Neurospora crassa OR74A: one gene and its partners. The protein of the gene in region 3 purifies or fractionates together with the protein of the main gene of each other region. This does not show direct contact. Links are inferred from orthologs where the notes say so. Each region holds a gene or a part of one and is shown on either strand. Other genes may lie near its edges.

Region 1 (7,855 bases), on a different chromosome or scaffold from region 3:
TAATAATTTATAATATTACTTATTTATTTAATATAAATCTAAAATATAAATAAGTTTAAAATACCTTTTTCTTTAATATTACCTTTTATTTCTTTTTTTTAATATTACCTTTTACTTTATTTTCTATTACTATAAATATATATTAGCCTTTATATTTATATAATTATAAAGTATATATAATAAAAACATGAGTTTAAAAAAGAAGTAATATATAATAATAATATATATTTATTTTTTAATATTCCTTAATATTATATAGTTAATTCTACCTTAAATACTTTATATATAATAATATTAGAAATTCCAATATATTTATTTAAAGAAAAAGAAAAATTAGAATCTTATTAAAAATATTTAATTATACTTCATTTTATTAAATATAGTAAATATATAATAAAGAATATAAATACTTTATAAAAAGGTTTATTTAATATAATTAAATAAAATTTATTAAAATATAGGAAGTATTAAATATTTGAATTTTAATTGCAGTATTAAAATTATAATAGTAAAAGTTATTCTAATAATTTTTTTTAAAAAGAAGTAAAATATTAAAACTTATTTTTTTTTTTAAAAAAAAAATTAGAATATTCTTTTACTTATTACTTTATATAAAGTAGTATAAAAAGAATTTAATAACGTAATACAAAGTATATTAATAGATAATTATAAACTTTAAACCTAAACTAATAAAACTATACTAACTTAATTACTTACAAGACTCTAACTCTATGTTAACCACCTTCAAAACTCTAATTAACTTAACGTTAAGCGCCTCCTTTACCTAACTATCCATTAAACCCTAGAACTCGCCCATCTTCTTTCTCATCTCCACCCTATCCAATTCCTCCCTTACTATTATATAATTAATACACTATTATTACTCGTTCTCAAATTATTCCCTAACGTACCTTTATAGTACGTATAGTCCTTACTACGACTTTGGTATATATAATTAGTATAGGCTCCCTTCAAAAAATTTCCGTAAGGGACGAAATAGATATTAATAGGGCCGAAACTACGAGAATTATTATATTTACTATAAGGTTCGGTATTGCGTTAGGGGATTATAAAAAAATAATATATAATAGTAGAAGTACAATTTATATTATTATAACGAAGTTAGATAAGTAATTTAATACCGCCGGTGAAAATTGCCTTTTTAATTTAGAAGCGACGTAGTTCCTTCGAGTGAAATTAGTTTTAATTGAATAAGATTTCAACTAATTGTAAGGGAAGTACCTACAATTACGTCGCGACTAAGAATATTCTTATAGTATTACTAAAGAATAGCTATAGCGTTATTAAATTTATAGGTTCGGACTTGTTCGATAAGGAAATTAGTAACTTTATTATTATTTAATTCGGATTCGTACTTAGTAAGCAGCGTTTTGCGCGGTATATTATTATAAATAAAATCCTCGTATAGGAAGTTCTAGTTAGGTGTAGCCGTAGTATTTTCGCTTATTTTGTTGTGAGTGTAGCGTGATTGCGATGTAAGAGTAGTTGATAATGCGCAAAAGAGGAAGTTGAATGCAATATGCGAATGTAAGGTTGAAGCTTGTAGGATACAAGCGCAAGTATAAGTACTGGGCGTACAAACGGAAAGTGCGGGGTGCGAGTATCTGAGCTCCCAGGTGGCAGGTGGGGAAAAATACAGTTGGGCGTTCATACTGCCGTATCATGGTTGGTTGAACTGAAGTGTCCAGATTTCAGGGGTTGGTTGGATTGGCGGCTTGGCGCTTTGCTGTTAGCGAGACGTGGATGAATCGGGTGTCCCAACGGTGATGGTCAGGCTGGATGATGCTGATGTTGAGGTTGATGGTGAACTACCTCTAGGTATAAATGATGGAAAGATAAGAAGTGATCAAAACGACAATGGAAAGCCTAAGTATGATAGGAGCACTGAAAAGAAAGATGAAACAAATACAGCTCCTGGGTGAAACCAGAGCTGCCGTTGTCGGGTCAGTGCCAGGCCGGAACGGGAGCTTGGGCCATCCGGAACCCCAGGGCCCCAGTACGGCCCCGGCTTTCTCAGCGACAGGACCCTCCTTCCGTCTACCGTCCGAGACCATATTAGCCCGAAGAATCGGACCTTCAAACACGGCCCAATAGTCTACGTGGTAGTGCACTGGGTCCAGAAAATGCGCGGTATTTTCGTAGGTTTAACCCGTGCCCGTCCAGAGTTGACTCATCCCGAGTTCGATTCCGAGCATGGGCGAGCTGATCTTTTTCTTCTTTTAAGGCTCAGATCACATCCACGAGTAAACGCACCCCTTCCAGAAACGCTTACCAGGTTGACGCAAAAACTGAAGTTGGCTATGAGGTTGGCCGTCAATCTCGAAAGATATGTAAAGAAGCCTTTTACTTTCATCCACTGAAAGTAAGAAGCTCCGACGTTCCTGAAAGGTCCCTCCCGCCACAGCGCAACTCCGGCCCTCTCAAAATATATCACCACTGGAAACATCTACTGAGGGGATAAAAAAAAGGAGAAATAAAGAAAGGGGAATGGGGAGCGTATAGTAGAGGCATCTTCCTCTTTATAAGTACATATTAAAGGCAACAGGAGACTACTGGAATCTCCATGGGATTAATAGGCGCCCAGTATGGGAGCAGACCGTCAGTGCTCTCTTTGGTCGTCATAGCCCGGCTTGACCACTCTTTAGGTGGCTCGCCAGCGACTCAGACCTGCCTTCTGAGAAAGTGTCTCTACTCGAAAGCAGGAGGCTTCGCCCTGAAAACAGGCAAAACCATTACAAGCTCGTTTGAGGAGACGACAATCTCAGGCAGGCTTTACTGCTTTCATCATCCGGTTGCTTTACTTGCTGCGTCTGTGTCGCAAGGGATGATGGCCAAAAGTGTAGCCAGATCAAACGGGATGGGGTGAGGTATGAGAGAGAAACGCCAAACGCATCAAAGCAGGATACGCAGGCTGGAAGATGACATGATCCATTATTCTTTTAGCGCCATAGAAGCCATACCCGAGCCCATTAGCAAACAAGACAAGAGAAAGAAACCAAGAAAAGCTGATACTTGTAGACGACCACAGCTTAGTGCTTCCTCCTCGACGTGCTGTTCACCAACTTCTTCTTCATCGCCTTGGGTATCTTCTCTTTCCTCTTCTCCCTCTTGGCCTCCTTAACCGCCGCCTTGTGCTGCTTCTTTTCGTCCTTGTCGATGAACCTCTTGCCTCTTGGTGTTCCCTTTTCGAATCGGCTCTCGTCATCCTCGTCATCACTACCCTCCTCTTCGTCACCACTGCCCTCCTCCTCCTCATCAGACTCCTCCTCTTCCTGATCCTCCGCCGTCTTGTGCACCACTTGATCCGCCAACAGGTTCTTGTATACCAAATCCTCTCCTTGACCCTCGTTTACCTTGGCGACATCCTTCTCGATATCGTAAACCTCGTTCAGCGTCTTGGGGATGTACTGGTTTCTGAAAACCTCATTGTCGACCTCCTGCTCGGCCCTGGCCTCCGCGGTATCCTCCACCTCCACCCTCGTCTGGTACAGCTGTTCGACCGTCTCCTTCATACCGGGTTCCTCGGCCGGTCCCTTGGGGTTGACGATGAAATCGAAAATCGTGCGGTCTGAGAGCGTGTCGACACCCTTCCTCCTGAAGAAATCGCCGACGTTCTTGATATCCATACGCAGGAACTCGAGCGAGTGGGGATGGTCGTGCTCGACGGATTGGGAAACATCAATGATGTAGAGCTTCTTGTTGTTGTAGAGGATGTTGTATTCCGACAGATCGGCGTGGACGAGGCGGCAGACTTGGTACAGCTTGCGCATGAGGCCGAGGAGTTGGATGTAGAGGTCGCGCCATTGTTCATCGGCGTCGTCGCCCGAGATGGGAGCGTCGCGCAAACGGGGGTAGGCCCAGCCCTTGCGATCTCCCAAGAAGCTCATGACGAGCACGTGCAGCTTGAGCTTGATGGGCTCCGGGCAGGGGATGCCGGCTGTGTACAAACGGCGCAGGTTTCTGAATTCCTTTTCGGCCCAGAGCTTGACCATCTTCCTGTTGTTTCCCTTTTCACTGCCGCTCTTGAAGCGGTGTTCACCAGTAATGTACTTCTCGCGATCCTTGAACACCAGAATGGCCGTCTTGTAGATCTTGATGGCCTTGTGTATGGGGGCCGAGCCATCCTCGGGGTGGAGTATGGCACCGTAGACGTTGGCTTCCTTGCCCGTGCTGATGGCGCCGTGAATCTCGGAGACAAAGCCCTGGTTGATCATCTGCAGCAGGATCATGCGCGTGCGCTGGTCGAGGACGAGTTCGGAGGTGGCGCGATCGGACTTGTCTTTGCTGCGCTCGGCGGGACCGGAGGCATTGTCGAAGGCGTCGATGCGGATCTTTCCGGCGAACTTGGAGAGGGCGGCGATCTGGTCGTCGACGCGGGCCGACGTGTTGGCTGTGGGTTTTTGTTGCTGGGCCTGAGCTTGGGACTGCTGAGAGTTGGTAGCACCGGCGCCATGTTGTTGGCGGTTGTACGACTTGGTCAGGTCGGTGCCGCCATCTTCGTAGTCGAGGTCATCGTCGGATTCAAAGACATCTTGGAGGTCGTCGTCGTCGTCTTCCTCTTCGATCGCAAGGTTGTTGAGCTGGGCGGTGGTGTTGCTGAGGTCGACATTCTGGTTGTCGGTCGCCGCTGTGGTCGACGTGAGTTCTGGTTGGGACGCCATCTTGCTGCCGAGTCTGCTTTCGTCAGTTCCGCCGATATCAGCAGGTGGTGATGAGACAGGATGGCAGACGAAATGGAAATCGTCATGGAACTTGCGAACTTCCACTTCCCGTCCACTGGCAATTTTCTTGGTGGGGCGAGCTTACCTTATCTTATCGTAATGCGGGGTGTCTTCCAGTGGTAGGGCTGTTTTCGAGATTCAGGGTTAGGGTAATCCGTGAGTATCGAGTTCTTGACGACGACTCGACTCGAAGACGGATTGGAATGGAACTGAAGATGTTCTTGGATGTTTCCGTTCCACATGATATGGCTGCTTGTTAAGTAGTCTTCGGCTCACTTTAGGCTTCAGCATTCATAACATCTTTTCTTGCCTCTCCGAGTACAGACATTGCACCCCTGCACCGATGGCGACCAGTTTGCCACTGGAGTGAGCTTGTCGCCTAATAGTTAGTACGCTAGGCGATGATGCTGACGCTATCATTCTGATTCATTCCACTTCCACATTCATTCCTTGAGCTTTGGTTTGCATCTTCGACATCTCAACACGGTGCGGAACACACCTACTTCTGCCGGTGACTCAATCAACGCCAACAGCACTAACAGCACCCAGTGTACGCTTCCCTGTTGGACAGAACCCAGCTGTTAGTGCTCAAAAGGGGCGACCACCCAAAAGCCAATTCTCCACCCATGGGGCATAGGCCGATCCCCAAAGTCATCAAGCTAGCAATGGACACCATGGTCCCGGGTAATTACAGGGAAACCTAACATCATCCTTCTTACATTCCATTTTACTCACGGTCAAATCTGGTATATGACCTCTGGATATTTGCGTCTCATCAATGGAAACGATGGAGACTTGCAATCAAAGTAAACCCATCACGACCTTCTGGCCTGCTTCCACCTCATCCTGCAGGCATACATTGACATGACGCGTTTAGATGATTCGATTCATGGTCGTTGATGACTCCCACGTCAACAAACGGATAATGGGTCATCGACCACCCGAGTTCAGGAATGAACATATTTACATCATGTGTGAGCCGCAACTTGATGTCAACACGGAGCATATAATAGCACAGGGCCACAGTTTCCAACATCCAATAGGTAGGCGCGTCTCCCAATTCCCTTTTTATTTTATTCCGGCAACCCCCATCGGGATTCCAGCCTTGCCTAAACGGGCTCACAACTTCACTCACCATGTGCCACTCCTACATGGAACATCACTTTTGCCGTAATGGCGCCGATTGTCCAGCCGGCTATGGCTGGGTCAACGAGCAAGGGCAGCTGTACCGACGATGGTTCGAGCGCACTAGAAGACGGGTTTACTGCTATGCCAGTAGCAGCGACTGCCCAACCCGCAAGCGGGTGTTGATGACTGACTTATTCGTTTCAAGACGGATTGATGAGCTGTGTCCCCTTTGCTCGGCCGCAGCATGATTGGTATGGGAACAGTAATGGCGATGAGGTTGCTAGGGGGATATTTAGTCATTTGGGTCAAGGTCACCCGGGGCCTTAGAGATCTATTCGGAAACTTTGTTTTATGCTCGGAGTTTCCATAGATTGCTTTGATGCTCTGCCCCATTTCATGTCGAACATTCGCTTCTTTATTCCCTCCGAGCCTCAACTCTCAAATATCCCCCCTTCCTGCCCCTCAAAATTTCCCACCTTGTTCCATTCATCGGTGTCCTTCCCTTCACGCAGATATACTCCCGAAACATACCCGCACGATATCCCCAAATTTCCGGCGCTTTCATTGTGTGACATTAGGGTCCTCTTCTGCCATGTTGGAATCTGGTTCAGCGTTTCCGCTAGGGTTGTCCTTTTCCAAAAGTCAGAAAAGGCATAAAATGGAAACGGGAAGGCGAGCGCGTACCTAGGGATTCTACATAGGTAATTTTAGGGAAGAGCAAGGTGTGTCCTTAGCGGAGGGTTGAATCAGTGCCTCGGATTCTCTAAGGTAACCAAAGGATGGAATAAGCTCGTTACCGTGACAAATCGTCCACTCGTCAACAAGAGTCAGGGATCATAAAAACGTCTGAGGTATTCTTGTAGTGTTTCGATAGCAATTTCACCTGTTGGGTGAGAAACGACTTCCAAGTTTGAACTTGATTTAGGCAGGTAGTTACCTGGCATTGCCTGTTCCTTCTATTTTACCTGCCCCTGACCTTTACCTTCCCACTTCCTGGTTAGGTCTTAACCTTTTTCACGATCCCTCCCTTTCCATGATTCCTCCTTTTCCACGGTCCCTCCTTTTCATACTGAATTCCCTGCACGGTACCTAGAGGTAAACTAGCGGCGATGTGAGCCTTTAAGATTATAGAGAAGAGGACCCAAATAATGAGGTAGAGGTAAGTAGGTACCTACCATTCAAGGCTGCAAGAACCAATCTCGATTGCATATATCACACTCCCCAACCTCAACCCAACGATCCAGCCACGAATCATGCTGAAGATTGCCTCGACAGCCTCTACTGTTGCAGTTCCGCATGTTGTGTCTTTGCGTATAATAGTTGTAGCGGCGAACGGTCCCCTGGAATAGGCCTTTGCCACCCCGGCACCGATCGCCGTTGCGGCAGAACCTGTATTCAATGCCGTATCTGCACATTTGGACTTGTGTGCTTTCCTATGGTATGGGTCTTAGTGCTTTTTGTCTGGGAGGTTGGTTTAGATTATTGTGATGCTAGCTCACTGCTTGTGGTTTGGGTGTCCTGGTGGTTTCTTTTTGTACCTAAGTTTAAGGTTGGTCTATCTTCGCCTTCGCTTGGTTGCTTGGTTGATGGGCTATCTGGTGGAAGAGATCGTAGTGGTGGAATTAGGGGGATATTTATATATTTCCGAGGAGGAACTATCGGGCATCATTTGTGGTCCTTGGACTACTTCGTTTACACCCCATGAAGGGAGGTGAAAGGCTTCAGAGAACTACTGTGAAGTTCGTTGATTGAGCCCCTTGAAGAGTCGGGTTGCCCTCGTACCGGAAACAGGAAAGAATAGATCGGCCTCCGTGCTCCATGAGAAGCGAACAGGTTGCTCATGTTCGATCACTTCACTCAACCTCCATCTATTATTTGTCCCATTCACATGCCCTCCACTTTGCAAGAGTTGAATCTCAAACAATTTGAGATCAGTCCCTCATCGCAAGATCGAAGGGCCGTGGACAGAGGTTTCCTGCTTCCTA
Region 2 (8,041 bases), on a different chromosome or scaffold from region 3:
CATGGTCACGGCAATCCTCCCTTCGTTGTCCGACGAGACCCAGGCGCAAACAGATGTTGTCGAGAACCCCCCTCTAAACCCAAGGCATAGCATAACACCGTCAGTGGCTTCAGAGGTTACCATTACCCCTGATCGGTTCCGCGATCACAGCACCTCCGAAGCTGGCTTCAGATTTGATGGCACCCAAGGGAAACCCGAAGGACGTGGGAAGCCGTCCGCGTTGGCCGGCTACGTAGGGCTCTTCACAGGGTGCGGTGCCCTCCTCGCTCTTTCGCTCTTCCTCCCTCTACCGGCAAGGTTTGGACACATCAAAGGCGTCACTGTTGGTCAAGCCGTCCAGTACAGTTACTACGTCGTCGGCCTCGTCTCCTTCCTCGTCGCCATCTTCGTCTTCTTCGGTCTCCGCGGCATCAAGGGTGAAGAAGGCAAAGGATTCCGGACCCTCTTCGGACTCAAGCGCCGAACCGACGACCACTCGGCCCCCTACTCATCCAAACAAGTCTATCCCTACCTACACCTCCTCCGCGACTCGATCCGGCTCGGCCTCACCGACTCCGACATCGCCCTCGGCTACCTAGGCGGCTTCGTCGCCCGTGCCTCCACCGTCGCCATCTCGCTCTTCATGCCCCTCTTCATCAACGCCTTCTTCATCCGCAACGGCTTCTGCCAAGGCTCGCCCAACGACCCTTCCCCAGAGCTGAAAAAGGAATGCCGCCAGGCTTACATCCTCTCGTCTATCCTCACGGGCGTCGCCCAACTAATGGGTCTCCTCTGCGCTCCTCTTTTCGGCTACCTCTCTAGCCGCAAGTTCACCAAACAGAATAGACTCAACTACCCTATCATTGTGGCCACCACCTTTGGCATCGCCGGCTACATTGCCTTCCCCCAGCTTAAAAGCCCCGAGTACAAAGACAAGGATGGGCGGGGCGGCAGCCCTGTCGTCTTCTTCCTCGCTGCACTTATCGGCATCAGCCAAATTGGCGCCATCGTCTGCAGCTTGGGCTCGCTAGGACGAGGTGTGCTGAAGGTGGACGTAGTCAACGTCATCACGCATCCGCACCGCGTCGACAGGGACAGCGAAGTAGCTACTGTGACTGAACCAGCTGATAGCCGGAACGAGACGGCACCCCTTTTAGAAAATCCGGGAGCTTTGCCGGAGGATACGGTGTCGAGAGTAAGGCTGAAGGGGTCCGTGGCGGGAGTCTACTCGTGGTGCGGAGGTGCGGCCATCTTGTTGCTGACAAAGGCGGGCGGGTATGGGTTCGATGAGTGGAGCACGGGGACGCCGTTCTATATGATGGCTGGGTTCAATGTGGTTTGGTTGGTGGTCAGTCTGGGGATTGATGCGGGAAGGTTTGGGTTTAAGAGGAAGAGGGGGGGAGTAGTGATCTATGGGCATCAGGTGCCGAGTGGCTTTTGAGTGTTTTGGCGGTTGTAAGGTTGTGTGATCCAGATGGGCGAGGATAGGGGGAGGGTGGAAGTCGTTGATGATGTTATGATGTATGAATTTTGCAGAGAATATGAATCGTGCATGCTTAAGGAAATGTGTACTGTTGCATGGGCGCTGTTGAAGCGGTGATCGAGTACTGCTACTCTTCCAAAGACATGGTGATTCACTCTCTAGTTTCTGCATCCAACCATCTTTTCCCATCTTCGTATGAAACTAGCATCTCCCGAGAACCAAACCTTCCACTCCCCAAGTTCGCAACACACATTCCTGGAGAAAAAAAAAAAAAAAAAAAGACAATAGACAAGGAAAGACATAATATAGAGTGACACGACATGCTCCGTGGACTCTCACCGACCCAACTACCAGAATCTATTCCAGGGAACTGAAGACGACATTCCAGCCCTCGGTCTGATGCGGACCGAATAATCCCATACTCGGGAAACTCGGGTTCTTCGGTTTTCAGGTACGCACCTGGCAGTACCTACAAGTAGGGCTTGTTGTGCAAGCAAGTACTCTGTAGAGCTTGTCGGTAGGGTTTGTGCGCATTACCACCGACATAAAGCATCATGCATGCAGATGCGCGCATGTAACTTGATGCAGATTGTCAGAGTTGTATTCAAGGATCTAGAATCATCCATCGTGAGGTGAGAAAGCAACAGGAGACTTCGTCACTAGGTCTCTTGCAAATGGATTGTATGTATCACCACTTACTTAGATGATGTGCAAAGTCGGACCGAGCATAGAGTCTACCATAAGTTTCCACAGATTCTGGCTTGTCTGAGATATGAAAGCCAGGATGACTGGAGTTCTCCGGCAGTGTCACATCTTCGAAGCATATGAGGATGAGGGAGGGAACCTCGAGGTTGAGAATGTAACTTGGAGAGGATGGAGAGAGAGAAAGGTTGTAAGATTGAAGGTAGATATCGCTAGTGTTGTCATGGAAGTGAAATGTACATCAGGTCATGTCTTGTATGGTATGGCGGCTGTGATATGGATAAGTAATCATGGGGTTGTGATGGAGAGGGTGTTTTGCACAAGACAAGAAAGGGACACAAAAGAGTGGTCTGTTTACCTGGACCTAGGTCATAGTGAAGGGGTGGTTAGTAAGAACCGCCGAGTTCGGAGTTTGAAATGGAAATGAAAAGGTCTACTACAAGTACTTGTGTGTCAATATCATCGTCAGTGATTTTCCATCTTATTATGTGCCTATGGCGACCAGTCAGTTCAAGATCACGGTGCAGCAAGAACTTCACTTGTCCAGTGAGACATCGAAAAGTGCACTTAAACAGCCAACACAGTGTTGAGTACAAGTCACGGATCAGTGTCAGCTTGTTGTGCCTTTGCCAGAGGAATCCAAAACACTTGTTTTGATATTGCTGCTCTGCCTGATGCCTTTTGCCAGATGCCATATTGGGTGTTAATCCAAAACAAGCCTGTCTTATGTCCATTCTTACGACCTTGCCATGGTCGAGCTATGTCATAGTGCCACCTAGACTATAGCGTGTGTGTCTTTTTGCCCTCTGGATGGTTGCCATCCCATCCTTTGTCTGCGGTTTGAACCGGGTAAAAAGTGAAATATATCCTAGGTATAACGTTCATGCATGGAAGGAAAGGGGATAGATACGGGGAGGAACCAGGTCATACGAACGCGCGCAATTTCAACTTTCGAGCTTGAACAGTTTTACTTTGTTCGATTCCGCGGTAAGTGGTGGACAGATAAGGAAAACCTCTTTCACGGTTCCGGTGTTCATGAACCACTTTTCCGCTAAAGGTGAATGCAACCAAACAGACGAACACCGACCCCATGCTGGCTGCTTTTTTTATCCCAACCCGCCGCCATCCTGATTCTGACATTGCCGCCTCGAAGAGAAAATAAAGGGGGGGCCGTGTGACTGAATAGTCTGGCTTCGATGTATGGTCGTTATGCCGATATTGAGAGGCATTTAGTTGCCGAGGCTGGGGAAGGCAGACTCATCGTTGGGGTTGATGGGAGCAGCCTTGTTCTCGGCGCGGGGAGCACCGCCACGGGCAGCACCACGGGCAGCACCACGGGGAGCGCCACGGCCACGGCCGGCGTCACCACGGGGACCACCGCGGCCACCGCGGGCACCACCACGAGCGGGACGCTCGGGCTCGACGAAACGCTGGTCGATCTCGAGGACCTGCTTGACCTTGCGCTCACGCTCGCGCTGCTTCTTGCCGGCGGAGCCAGCAATGAACTCCTCGGTCTCATCCTTCTTGAGGGGCTTGGCGTTGGCCCACTTCTTGTCCTCAACGACACCCTCGTTGGCCTTGCGGACCTTGAGGGCGGCCTCGGCCTCGAGAGCGGCCTTCTTCTCGGCGAGCTGGGCAAGGTACTCAGAGTAGGAGACGTGCTTCTCCTCCTCCTCCTCGGGGATAGCCTCAGCGGCGGCCTCACCCTCGGTGGTGGCCTCCTTCTGCTCAGTCTTGGCGATCTCCTCGGCGGCCTGCTCATCCTTCAGCTCGGCCTGGCCCTCGGTGGCGCCCCAGGAAAGGGCAGCCTGCTTCTCGGATCCGCTAGTCAGGGTGTTAGTGGACGGAGGTGCCTGTGGCTAGAAATTGCTTGACCGGAACATACGAGGGGATGGACTTAGAGTGGCGGTCATCCGAGGTGTTACGGGGGTGACGGCCACCGCGACCACCGCGGACGCGGGCGTTAGCGCCGCCGCGGGGACCACGAGCAGCACCCTCCTCAGTGGGCTTGCCACGGTTGCGGTCGCTGCCGGCGTTGCGGTCGCGGAAAGCTGGGACCGAAAATGTCAGTTGAGAGGGTAGCCATGGTTAGCATGTTGGATGATCAACATACCGGCCTCGTTGCCGGTCAAGTTAGAGCGACGGCCAGAGCCCTGAGCGGGGGCCTTGCTGGGAGCGACGCCATCGGAGTTGCGCTTGGTGGTGTGGGTCGAGGTCTTCTCGACGATCTTAGCAGGGGCGGCGGGAGCGGTGTTATCCTCCACGTCGTTGCCTGAATGAAAACAATCGATCCGTCAGTATTGGTGGTTCCTTGGATTGCGGTGTTCAATGTTCCTCCTCGCCCTGCCAATTTCGAGTGTGCCGTCGCGTGGGTTCCGTAATTCACAGGAGGGTGGGCAACCAACCGAGCAGATCGAACAGGTTCTGTAGAAAAAGAATCGCAATCGGTTAGTTTCTTGCTGTCTTGAGCTCTAGATTTTCGCGGTATGGCCGGCTGCTGCTCGCTGTGCGTCTGGATCCCCATTCTCCAAGCCTCCCTCCTCTTTCGGATCCCAAATTGTCGCAAGGAGCCGGTGTTGGCGGACTCGCTCGGAAACAAAAATGAAGCTCTCAGTTTCATTTCACGGCGAGGTCCAACCACGGGGTCATCCATATCCGCTGCACAGCATGCAGCTCTCGGCCGACCGTGAAACCGGCCATTTCGGAGATTGACGGGGAGAGAGATAAACACACCTTGGAAGCGACCGACATCTTTGCGCTTGACAGGACGTTGGCCTGACTCAATGCGCTTCTTCTAGACGGGGTTGGGTAGGGGGGGCGGACGACAGCGACAACGACGTCTGATGCTCGCTGTGGTGTCGTAAAAGATTTTGGCAAATCGCTCCCGGGCCACAGGGAGCTCGGACCAGGTTTTGGCAGTGGCACGGATCACAGAGACGCTCGTGCCCCGCCCACCTGCACCAAATCTCCCCTCCAAGGCCCTGCTCTGGCCCTCTTTGCCGCTGTTCCCCGCTTCCAACTTTGACTGCCGTTTTGGCTTTTTGGTGAAATTTCAGTGCGCCGCTGTTATTGGTGGTTAGGGCTACCACTTTGCACGCTGCCTGCCCTTTGTTACCAATGTGACGTGCGTATCGATCCGTACACGCCGTAACTTTGCCTGTTTGAGCTCTGCTCCCAATCCGGCAAGTCTTGGCAGAGTGTTTGCAGCTGCGACGACAACCACTCACGACCATAGACATCATCGTCACCAAGGTAAACAAACCACTGGAAACACATCCGTCACAAACACCTGACGGAAGCTGCCGCTTTATATGCCAAGTTGACGCATTCCTGCTGAGGTGACAGCCTTCTATGAGATCGGACCTGCCTCAAGCACCCCGGACTTCCTGTCAACGGACTTCATGCCAAAAAGGCACGCATTGCCGTCGTGCTTTTAGACACCGGACGTCATGTCTTTCTTGGGGAAGTATTACCTTGGTTGCTGTGCTTGACGGCTTGCCAACAGGTGCTTGATCACGGCCACATTGGAGAGGTCATCACGGACCACTTGAGCAGTTTGATATGCAGCGTGGACCTTTCACCTTTTTTTTTCTTTTTCTTTCTGTTTTTTTTTTCCAACCCCTACTTCTATCTTACTTCCTTTCATTCAAGACTTCTCTGGAAAGTCTGCCATATGCCATGATGTAGAACAGTGTTGGAAGTTGTATAGGTTCTACGTGTCTGTTGAACCGCATCACCCTCAAATCACAGCGGCTCTGCATGCGTTTCCACAAGTGTGGTTCTGGATGGACTCACCCGTTGGTTTGCATCTGACAGTCATGGCAGAGAGTGGACGCTGTGGCGACGAAGCTCAAACAGCAACTATATTAGGACGAGTACCGTTCGCCAGTCGAAGCAGTTGCCAATGGATGTTGAATTCATGAATTGAAGCTCCCCTTTTTAACACACTTGTTTACTTCCTCGTGGCCCTTCGAGGCGGAGATGGACATACATCTGCAAAATACATAACCTTTACCACATTAGAGTCCTGTCCTCGCATCGAGAATGGAAGATAGCCATCAGCAAATGTCTCTTTGTTGTAGGTTAGTTAACCTGAGATATCGGTATCAACTAATCCAGTTATTGTACGGATAACAAGTCGCGGAGAGCCATTTCATCATGATCAATATGCAAGTCGACTTCCTTCTTTGTTGTGTAGCTCTGCAATTCCTTTCTCTCCTTTTCATCTGCCTTTTCAAGATTCTACTGCATTTCTCGTGTCTTGCTTTTCACCCAACATCGAGTCTTTCGTGTTAGTCATGGCAGATTGTTTGAAGTCAACTTACAGGCGTTGTATCAAACAGTGTGTCTCTGTGTTTCTTGACAACTAAGAATGTCTCCACGGCGTTGCCAGAGAAAGTTGGGCATGTACTGGATGAGAAGCATTATCTAGCCTGGTCGCCATTGTTTGGCATGACAGATTTGCTTCATTTGAGCTGATATTTAGCTCTGAGGCTATGCAAAGTCCACAACACTCTGAAACACCGGGGCAGCCACATGAGTCGTTGACGGTAGAAGTCGTTCTGGTCACGAAATCTGTCTTCAGGAGTTTGTCGATCATTCATCTTTAGGTTTGAGCCACATTATGCACCTACTCTTGGATATCGGCAAGGGATGTTTGAGGAGGCTGTTATGAAGCACTTCTAACGTTATACTTCTGTCCACTGTATCAAACACGCCAGTACATCATCTGTGAGCGAAAGCCACAGCTCAGGCTTTGGGTAATAGGAGAGAACCCGGTCGGTAGAAGTTGCAATCAAACCCACCTCATTAACGTGTACCTCCCAGGTCTTGCTTGATACGAGTGTTAGTTCACGGGAAGACAAGAAGTCTATTTATTACCAGGCAAATATGTATACAAAAGCCACATGTCAACCGCTCAAACCAGCAAATGTGGAGGTCTCGACAAACAAAGCATAGAAGTAGGACACTTTGCGCCTACAAGCACTATGGCTGAAATCTCGAAAAGATGTCACACTGTATTGAGGCCGCAGGCTCTACGAAGCAGCAAAAAGAAAGAAGAGCTTGAAGGACACTCCCATTTTCGACACCTCCGCCGACAACGAACAGCTCACCAAGTTTCACGATACTCACTTGCAGTATGCTCGCAACGTCCGTTGTGAGCGCAAGGTCAAGAATTTCGAGCTGAGCCCACATACTTGTCACGATTTGCTCCAGATTGCCTGGAAAGAGGACTTCAAAGAATATCTCTCTTGTCTAAATAACGCTCGGCTCTACATGGAGCTACACAAACGAAGTTCCCAAAGAGGAATGATTTAGCTGGTCAGTAGAGTGTTGAGAGAGCTGTGCCCGACTTTGAGAGTCGTCCAACAGCAGGTAGCTTGTCATTTGGCAACGAGATCGACGGTTCCTTTGGGTGTGACTCATCCTGCATTCGGCTTGCCCTGCAACCTGTCCACCAGAATTCGAAATGAGTTCAAATAAATCTGCCCGCCTTCGGGTTGATTTAACCTTCCAGAGTCTTCCCCAAGCATCAGGGCCGATTGAAAGAGGTAGTAGGAGGTAGGAGTGATGAAAGCGTGATGGTGGGCTTGTCACATCTGTGCGACCACCGGTCAGCGTGCCGAGTGACGCCTCAGCGGCACGGCCAGGATGGCGACCCGAACCTTGTCGAAGCGGAAGCATGGAAGGGTTCCCGCTGCGGCTCTACACTACTCCAACACTGGACAGGTTGGAGGAACAGGAAAGTATGTACCATTCATGCTCATCCCGTTTCTTCTCGAAGCGTTTCATGGTGCAGAATACGAATCCAGATGCTCAGCGGATAGAACCCAGCATTGCTGAAGGGCAGGTCGATATGTCATGATGGCTGGGCTG
Region 3 (7,808 bases):
ACCTGCATTGTTGGCTTCTTCAGGGTTGGTTCCGGACCCAAAAGTACTACCTGAAGAAGAGCCGCTATCATCGGATAGGCAAGGAAGACCCGTGAAACATGAAGGACACGCAGGCAGAGAGGGACAAGTGAGCATCGAGGTTCTAGTACCACTATTAGCAGAGAAACCAATGGTCGCACATAGCAGCAGCACTTACGGTGTGCCACCGAGACAGGTAGCAATGATGCTAAGCTCCACGGACGTAACCGTGATAGTTTGTGTGCTGGTGGAGATAACGGATATCATCTGCCCTGCTCCCCCTGCCTGAGGTAAGAGACTGTTTGAAGCTCCGCGTCTCAAAGTACAAGTTGGACCTGAATAACTGCTTATCTGGAACACAGAGTCGCTGGTTGGCTGTCCTGAAGCGCTCACAAAGACTGCAGACACAGACGCTGGGGCTTGGACTGTTGAAGCATTTTCCAATGCTGGACCAGTGATAGGAGTTGTCGAGCTTGGTCCGTTGATAAAGGGCGACGTTGTTTGGATTGAGCTGCACGGGACGGACACCGGAATGACAGAGTCGCCTACCAACATCAACCGTGAGCACAGTACACCAACAGTCTCGGAAGAGGCTGAACCCGCGGCCACCGTGACTTGACTGATCAAACTGTCCATTGGGGTATTTGAAACCATGCTGGCCAACACCGATGCTACAACGCCAACAACGTTGCTGGCTAACGCAATATTTGACGGACCCGCAACGCTTGAGAGTGACTTCGCAAATTGAGAAAGGGGTACAGCAGTGGGAAGTGATATGTCAGAGAGCTTCAACAAAAGGCTTGTCGGGATCGATACCTGAATGGTAGTCGAAGAGAGATTTAGGGTAATGGTCGGCAATTCTGACGTCAAGAGCGTAGCTTCTGACACGACCGCCTGGGTGAGAGATGGCACTTCCGAGGCAAGCACTGCTGTTAAGGAAGCAACATCGGCCACAGGAACCGACACTTCTGAGCCAAGAATCGATTGTAGGGACTCTAGGAGTAGTAGAGCCGACGGTATGTTCGTGCTCAACATGGGCATCAGTGGTGTTGTCTCCGAATTAAGGAGCGGAATGCTAGCTGTTCGTAGAGGAACACTTGGTACGATGGCACTCAAGATCGAGGCAATGTCTGGCGTTGGAAGCGGAACTGTCGGTACAGACACAGGAACAGAAGCTAGCTCAGATGAAAGCAGCGCTGTGAGAGTTGCCGGCAGGGGAAGGGAAGCCATCTCCGACACGACAATTGCTGAGAGCGACTGGAGTTCCGAAATCGAAACCGGAAGTTCTGAGCTGACCATCGACTGGAACGACTGCAAGAGCGGTAGGACTGATGGCAGGTCTGTACTCAACAGGGGAATCAAGGGCGTGATCTCAGACATGAGGAGCGGGATGTCAGATGTCGGAACCGCTGCGGTTCGCAAAATGGCACTTGAGTTAGAAACTACCCCGGGTGTTGGGTTCACGTTGGTTGGTACGGGGAATGAAAGCGGAAGTGACAATCCTGGGCTAAGGAACGCCGGTTGGCCCGAAGAGGTCGGGCCCGGTACTGGTATAATGGGTGGCAAGGTACCTTCCGCCGACATAGTGGTGGCCTGCTGTGCTCCGGGCTGAAGAACACTCTCCAAAGCCGGGATGAGGGATACGAGAGAAGCGACATCTGTAGGAAGCGTAGCGTTCGGGCTGACCATTGTCGTACCGATGTTAGAAAGACTGGTCGTCAGTGAACCCAAGATGGTGTTGAGCAACGAGATGAGACCCCCGATGACCGCCGAGTTCGATTCGAGTGGGGTTGCGGCACTACCAGTACTTGTTGTAACCAAAAGAGTAGTTTGGGCTGGAGGATTGAGCACTAAAGACAAAATATCAGGATCGATTATCAGGCCAGGGGCACCCAATTCGTCTGACTTGGGCTCCTGAGGCTCACCATTTTCTACCTGGCGGTGGACATGTCGAAGGGCCGGGGTTGTTCCTGTCTCCTTGCTGTCCGAGACATGGTTGGAAGCGAGGCTGATGGGAAGAAGGAGTAGGGGTAGCAGGTAACGACCAGCGGACGGCATGGTAGCCAGAAAACGACTGTGTCTACCCGAAAGAAAGAAAAAGGAAAAGAGGCCAGTTGTGTAGGTAGTTGATACACTTCCAAGGGCAGAAGGCCAAAGCGGTTCCAAAACTCACAAGTCCAAAACCCGTGGTCCAAAAAAAAAAAGAGGGAAACGAACGGTGCTCGGCCTAGCAGAGTATTGGTGATGGAAGAGAACATGGAGAAGAGTAGAAAAAAAAACATCAATTGGGGATTGAGAAAGATGATGCTCTTTTGTCAAGCCGGAGAAGCGATTGCTCTTTCCCAGTCAACTCCTGCACAACCGCCATCATGGGAAAGGGGCAAGACCAACCGACCCCTCGAGGAACAGTCACGAGTGACTACCTAGATGGTATCTCAAGGTCAAGTCACGAGTCCCTTCCTACCGCGCTGCCTCTCGGACAGGCCATTTCCAGTATAGAAAGCAACTTAAGTGGAAGGCTACCTACCACTCCAAGCTTGGTCTCTTGTACGTGATTTCTGTGTGAACCGTGTCTGCTGAGCTGTTAGCAACCGCGAACCATACAGCATGTTAAGCTCGCAAACCAAATAAACAGCTGTCCGTAGTATGAGCAGCGACGACCCTTGACCGCATGGAACACATTGTCCCACAACGCTACCATCCATAACATTCACGTTGATTCGCTATTCGAATGGGGGCTTTGTCGTTGTTGGTCATTTCATCAATTTTGGGACTCAGGCCGATCGCACTAGGTATTTGGGACAACAGCCTTCATCTATTCCATTCCCGGAGCCCATGCAATCAAATAACCACAGACGCCCGAAAGAATCCTTCCATCCTCGCTAGCTGAAAACAACTTTCAACCAGTCGCTTAGTTGGCGTAACGCTTGCCCTCACGGAGGGTGTCGGCGAACTCCTCAAGAGGAGAGCGGGTCAACTTGGTCTCCTTCCACAAGTTGGGGGTAAGGAAGCCATAGGTGTTGGAAACAGCGGCGAAAGTAGCCTTGAGAGTGTTCTCAAGGGTCTTGGTAGAGCCGGAAGAGGAGGTGTAAGCATCCTCGATACCGGCGAGCTGGAGAAGACGCTTGACGGCGGGGGAGGCAACGAGGGAGGTACCACGGGGAGCGGGGATAAGCTATGAGGATCGCAGTCAGCGCCAGTTCCAGCTTCTCGGGTCAAATTCTGGGTATAACTTACGCGGACGGTGACGGAACCGCACTTGCCAGACTCCTTGACGGGGAGGGAGTGGGGGAGACCGAGGTTGGCGCCCCAGTAACCGCGACGGACGGGGATGACGCTGAGCTTGGCGATGATGATGGCAGCGCGGATAGCAGTAGCGACTTCCTTGGAGGTCTTGATACCGAGACCGACGTGGCCCTCGGAGTCACCGATGATGACGATGGCCTTGAAGCGGGTACGCTGACCGGCACGGGTCTGCTTCTGGACGGGCTTGATCTGCAGAGGGAGAAAACAACAATATCAGCATGCAGTTTCGTGGGGTTTCAAGCACAGTTCCCCCCAATGTCGTCGCGAATCCTGCGATTCTCGCTCCTCCCCCTCCTCAACCTCATCCTCCGGGCATCAAAGAATTCGTTGCTGCGCACCTTCATGACCTCATCCTTGAGCTTGGGGAGGAAGAAGTCGACGATCTGGTACTCCTTGATGGGGAGAGAGTGGAGGTAGATCTCCTCCATGCTCTTGATCTTGCCGGCCTTCACGAGACGGCCAAGCTTGGTGACGGGCTGCCACTCCTTCTCCTCGGACTTGCCGCCGCGACGGCCACGGCCACGTCCACCACGGCCACGGCCGCGGTCACCACCACGATCGCCACGGGAAGCGAAGCCGCCGCCACGGGGGCCAGAAGTTCCACGATCAGCCATTATGTCGGTTTGCCGGTAGGGTATCGGAGACGGAGGGTCTGTTGCTGGTCGTCGTCGTGGACTGGTTGAGGAGTGCAGATACTCGACGTTTTTCTCGGGCGCCTGGTGGGGGTCGCAGCTTTTCGCTGCGATTTCTGGATTTTGCTGGTGCGCTCCGCCTTTGGCACCAACCCTAACGCCCACCTCATTGGCTATCCGCGGGTTTTGTCCCGCCTGGCAGCCGAAAGGTGGGGTAGATTTGGGGTTACAGCTGTCAGGCTTGGCATGGACAATGAGTGTGCACGGACCAGGCTGTCTGCTTCTCAGCCCAACTGCTTGCTGTAGCTACCTACAGGGCTGGCCGTCGCACCGTCAGTCCCGCCGCGAACTTGCAATCGTGAACCTTGAATGCCGGGGCAGTTTCAACCCGTCATGGGCAAATTGAAGCCCCACTGCGATCATTGAAGTCCATCCCTCCCTCTGTAGGCCATCGGGGTTCTCACTCTTGTCATTACCAACGCGTGGAGATTTCAGTATCGGACTCGTGTCAACAAATCTTTCAATTTTGTCGATAGTTGTTGCGGAGTTCCTCACTGTCGCTACAGATTCCCAGTGAACACCCGATATCAACATCCATTTGCAAATGCACATTACCTTGTCGCATCATCAGATGGTTCAGTGGAGGTGTTCGTCTCTTAGTTGCGACATGTGCCTCCAGTCTGTCGGTCTCCATAGACTCATAGAGGCATCCAACTCACACAGAACGACCTGGTATTGCACGTTCCTCTTCCAGGGATCACACGCTGATATGATCAAGAAGAGAGCCGTTTTCTGAATAAGTGCCCAAAGGGCAAATCGATTTTCCTATTGTACCTAGCTGGAAGAAGGGGGCATCATCAGATTCCATCAAAACGCCTTTGCACCGGAAACCTAGCCTATAGTAGAGGATGAACTGAGTACCCAAGTCCAACACATGCTCCTGCGTTCCCGATATGCCCATGGCCATGACCATTTCCCTCGTAGGTAGAATCAGTAAACGCCTAGAGACGCCATGAGATGCTTGCTTGCTTATTTGCGAATGAGCAACATTCCAAAAGATAAGCCCTTCAAGCAGAGGGGTTGGCGTTCATCTGGATTCGATGATATGTCAGCACAACTGCGACCTGGAAGCAAAGCGTGAGTGAGCCCTCCTACCTTGCGCTTGCCGCCAGGACCGGTGACAACGTTCACGAAACGGCGAGTGTAGATTTCGCGCTTGTGAGCACGGCCCTTGGGAGTCTTGGGCTTTTCCTGGGGCTCAACCTTGGGAGTCTGAGACTTGACCTTGCCTGAAGATGGGTGTGAGTTTTGGTGATGAAGGTGTGGCGAAATGGCATCAAAAACTGCAACTTACCGGCACGAGCAAGGGAACCGTGAACTTTGCCCATTTTTAATGGTAGTGATGGAGTGGTGGTGAGTGGCTTTTTGTGACTGTTTTTGGGTGAGTATTGGACGGCGAATGGGCCGAAAGGGGGACAATACAAGGGTTTAGAATGATGTGAGGAAGGGACTCGGGATGTTTTATACCTGTATCTGGCAGGTAAGATATTCGGCCGTGTCAAACATTCACCGATGACTCCCGTCTGTTTTATCGTCCCGAAAAGGGCAGTCGGGAGCCAACCGCTACGTAGACTAGTGTTGTGTAGCGGTACTGGTAGTCTTCCACTGCAGTGGGCTCCGGGGGGATTGCCAAGAGAATTGCCCCCTGGCGACACGAGAAAGAAACGCCTGCAACCACCAATGTTAAACAGTGGGGCCTCAGCATGCAGGGAAAGCACCGTCTCGATTACACTACCAACGGCGAAAGAGGTGAAATCAGAATCCCATGCGAAAGACTGGCAAAAAGCCGATATGTATTATTCAACAAAAAAACGACTAATGCATAGGTATAAATGCCCGTAATCATAGTTCAACTTCCTCGTACACCCCTCGCAAAGGATTTGCTGCCAGCAAAAGGCAACCACCTCAACCGGCCCGGAGGAGCCTCGAGGCTCGAGACTGGACGGAATTAGTACTGTACACTAGAAGTTTTGGAACGACCCAAACAGGCAAGTTCAATTACAGTCTAAACTCTAGAGTGTTCACGTGCGAGCGCGCTCCTTCCGCGACAGACAAGTCCCCGGCATCCATCCAACACGACGCTTACGCCGCGCAACGTTAATACCCCACGTACCTAGTTAGTTAAACGAAGAGTGACCGCGTAACACCAATACTTGCGCGCGATCGGCCATCGCGTCATCTCAACCCATCAATCTCCACCTCAAAGTCCGCACTGTCAATTCCTACCTCCAGTTTATTCCAGTTGGGATTGTTGAGAATATGTGGCTTCTCGAAAGTGACGTCTTCGAAGGTGGGTTTTGTCCTGTGTGCTACTGTGCTACATGAATTGGCGGTCGCGTCGACGCGCTGCCGTGATGCCATCCATATCAGATCAAGAAACTTCGTGGGAAGAGATCGCTGACCCCGAACGAGGAAGCCAGACGGAAGAAAATGGCTGCGACCGGGCAGGCAGTACCTTTTTGGTAGGACTGCGGAAAACAGTATGGCTTCCTCAGCATGAGCATGAAAACAGCCACTGACTGGCCTTTTAGCCGATTTTGTCATTTCTGACAAGACAATCTCACGGAATCATATTTGCATTCATGTCGCTGATGTTGTGGACGGCGATGGTGTAGGTTTCCTCGGGCAGGGAATGTTCTGAATTGCCTCGGCTGATAAAGCTTCTTCAGGGCAACATACTCGCACGCTCCAAAATCACCATTGAGGATAAAAATTCGAAAAAGGGCACCCTCTTGAACGGGACTCAAATACGTGGACAGAAAGTCGTCCTCACCGAACCAACCAACGAGCTTATATTGGGTGCCTGTCCACATCAACTTCGGTATGTATAACCCTATACAAACGAACCATGGTGTTACCTGACCTGAACTCACCGGTTTGCTTCAGCATCGTATGGCGTCCTGTTGTTCTCAGCTTCTCTTTTACCAAGAAGGAAATCGAGGCTGGTTCATGGCAGACGCTACGTGACAACCTCGAGCAGCTTGACATCAAGTACATAGGTACTTACGAACAGCTCACCACCCACGTGGTTAGCAAGAAACGCAACACATCCAAGACACTGCAAGCACTGGTCAATGGCAAACCTATCGTATCCGACGGTTTTATCACTGCCATTGTCGAGGCTGCCACAGTGCCTGATGACGCTGGAACGGGAACGCCCAGTGCATTGGAGAGCACCTTCGATAAGGCCTGGCCCAATGCCGCTGATTACCTGCCACCTCGCGGTGATGAGCCTACCGAACGACCGCCAGCCGATTATGCACCCGACGAGCGGCGACACGATGTTTTCGCTGGATACACCTTCGTGTTCTACAATCAGAAGCAACACGAGAACCTTGCGCCTGTTGTTCAGTGGGGCAAAGGCAAGGCTTTCTTCAAAGAAGTAGTGGAAGGCGTCACCGAGGTAGATGACTTTGTGCGCTACGTCAAAGAGGTTGCCGGTGAAAAAGGGACTGGGTCATTTGAGGATGGCAGTGACGGGAAAAGAGTCGTTGTGGTGCGACATGCCCCTGGAAAGGGCGATGACGTTGAGTGGTGGACCAACTTCTACACGAGCTTTGCCAGACATCTCGACCATCGGCCTCCCGACCAAAAGGAGTTTCTGGAGGCCATCCTCGCCTGCGATGCATCTCTACTCCGACGACGCCTCGAAGAAGACACCCAACCTACATCAACCGCAAATCCCACCCAGATCGCCCAAACTCAATCGGGGGATCGCATGCAAGTCGATCCACGCGACAGAGAAAATGACGAACCCGCCCCGGCTCGACGACGAGCTCGCGCAGGTGGTAG

Evidence for each region. The genes of interacting proteins can lie anywhere in the genome.
Region 1: the proteins of NCU06047 (region 3) and stk-52 purify together in Saccharomyces cerevisiae (affinity purification with mass spectrometry; 3 studies listed by BioGRID). This does not show direct contact. The link is inferred for Neurospora crassa OR74A from reciprocal best matches to the Saccharomyces cerevisiae genes RPS2 and RIO1.
Region 2: the proteins of NCU06047 (region 3) and NCU00225 purify together in Saccharomyces cerevisiae (affinity purification with mass spectrometry; 3 studies listed by BioGRID). This does not show direct contact. The link is inferred for Neurospora crassa OR74A from reciprocal best matches to the Saccharomyces cerevisiae genes RPS2 and STM1.

The regions. Positions count from the first base shown.
Region 1 is NC_026503.1:5,213,199-5,221,053, forward strand, and holds stk-52 (serine/threonine-protein kinase RIO1), read right to left. Parts: upstream 5,074-7,855; 5' UTR 4,828-5,073; intron 4,696-4,827; 5' UTR 4,683-4,695; coding exon 3,051-4,682; 3' UTR 2,564-3,050; downstream 1-2,563. UniProt on the Saccharomyces cerevisiae protein: Required for the final endonucleolytic cleavage at site D converting 20S pre-rRNA into the mature 18S rRNA. Required for the final steps of cytoplasmic maturation of the 40S ribosomal subunit.
Region 2 is NC_026503.1:3,073,601-3,081,641, reverse strand, and holds NCU00225 (hypothetical protein), read right to left. Parts: upstream 5,074-8,041; 5' UTR 4,916-5,073; coding exon 4,898-4,915; intron 4,589-4,897; coding exon 4,570-4,588; intron 4,437-4,569; coding exon 4,278-4,436; intron 4,216-4,277; coding exon 4,050-4,215; intron 3,989-4,049; coding exon 3,394-3,988; 3' UTR 2,614-3,393; downstream 1-2,613. Other genes in the region: NCU00226 (MFS transporter), read left to right, coding at 1-1,420; NCU00224 (hypothetical protein), read left to right, coding at 7,817-7,911. UniProt on the Saccharomyces cerevisiae protein: Ribosome preservation factor that protect a small pool of nontranslating, vacant ribosomes in cells under nutrient starvation conditions.
Region 3 is NC_026507.1:1,980,617-1,988,424, reverse strand, and holds NCU06047 (40S ribosomal protein S2), read right to left. Parts: upstream 4,102-7,808; 5' UTR 3,939-4,101; coding exon 3,663-3,938; intron 3,514-3,662; coding exon 3,256-3,513; intron 3,194-3,255; coding exon 2,930-3,193; 3' UTR 2,200-2,929; downstream 1-2,199. Other genes in the region: NCU06045 (hypothetical protein), read right to left, coding at 197-285; NCU06046 (hypothetical protein), read left to right, coding at 1,052-1,630; NCU06048 (40S ribosomal protein S30), read right to left, coding at 5,024-5,047, 5,112-5,245, 5,311-5,344; NCU06049 (DNA damage response protein RcaA), read left to right, coding at 6,276-6,306, 6,437-6,496, 6,548-6,627, 6,686-6,837, 6,903-7,808. UniProt on the Saccharomyces cerevisiae protein: Component of the ribosome, a large ribonucleoprotein complex responsible for the synthesis of proteins in the cell.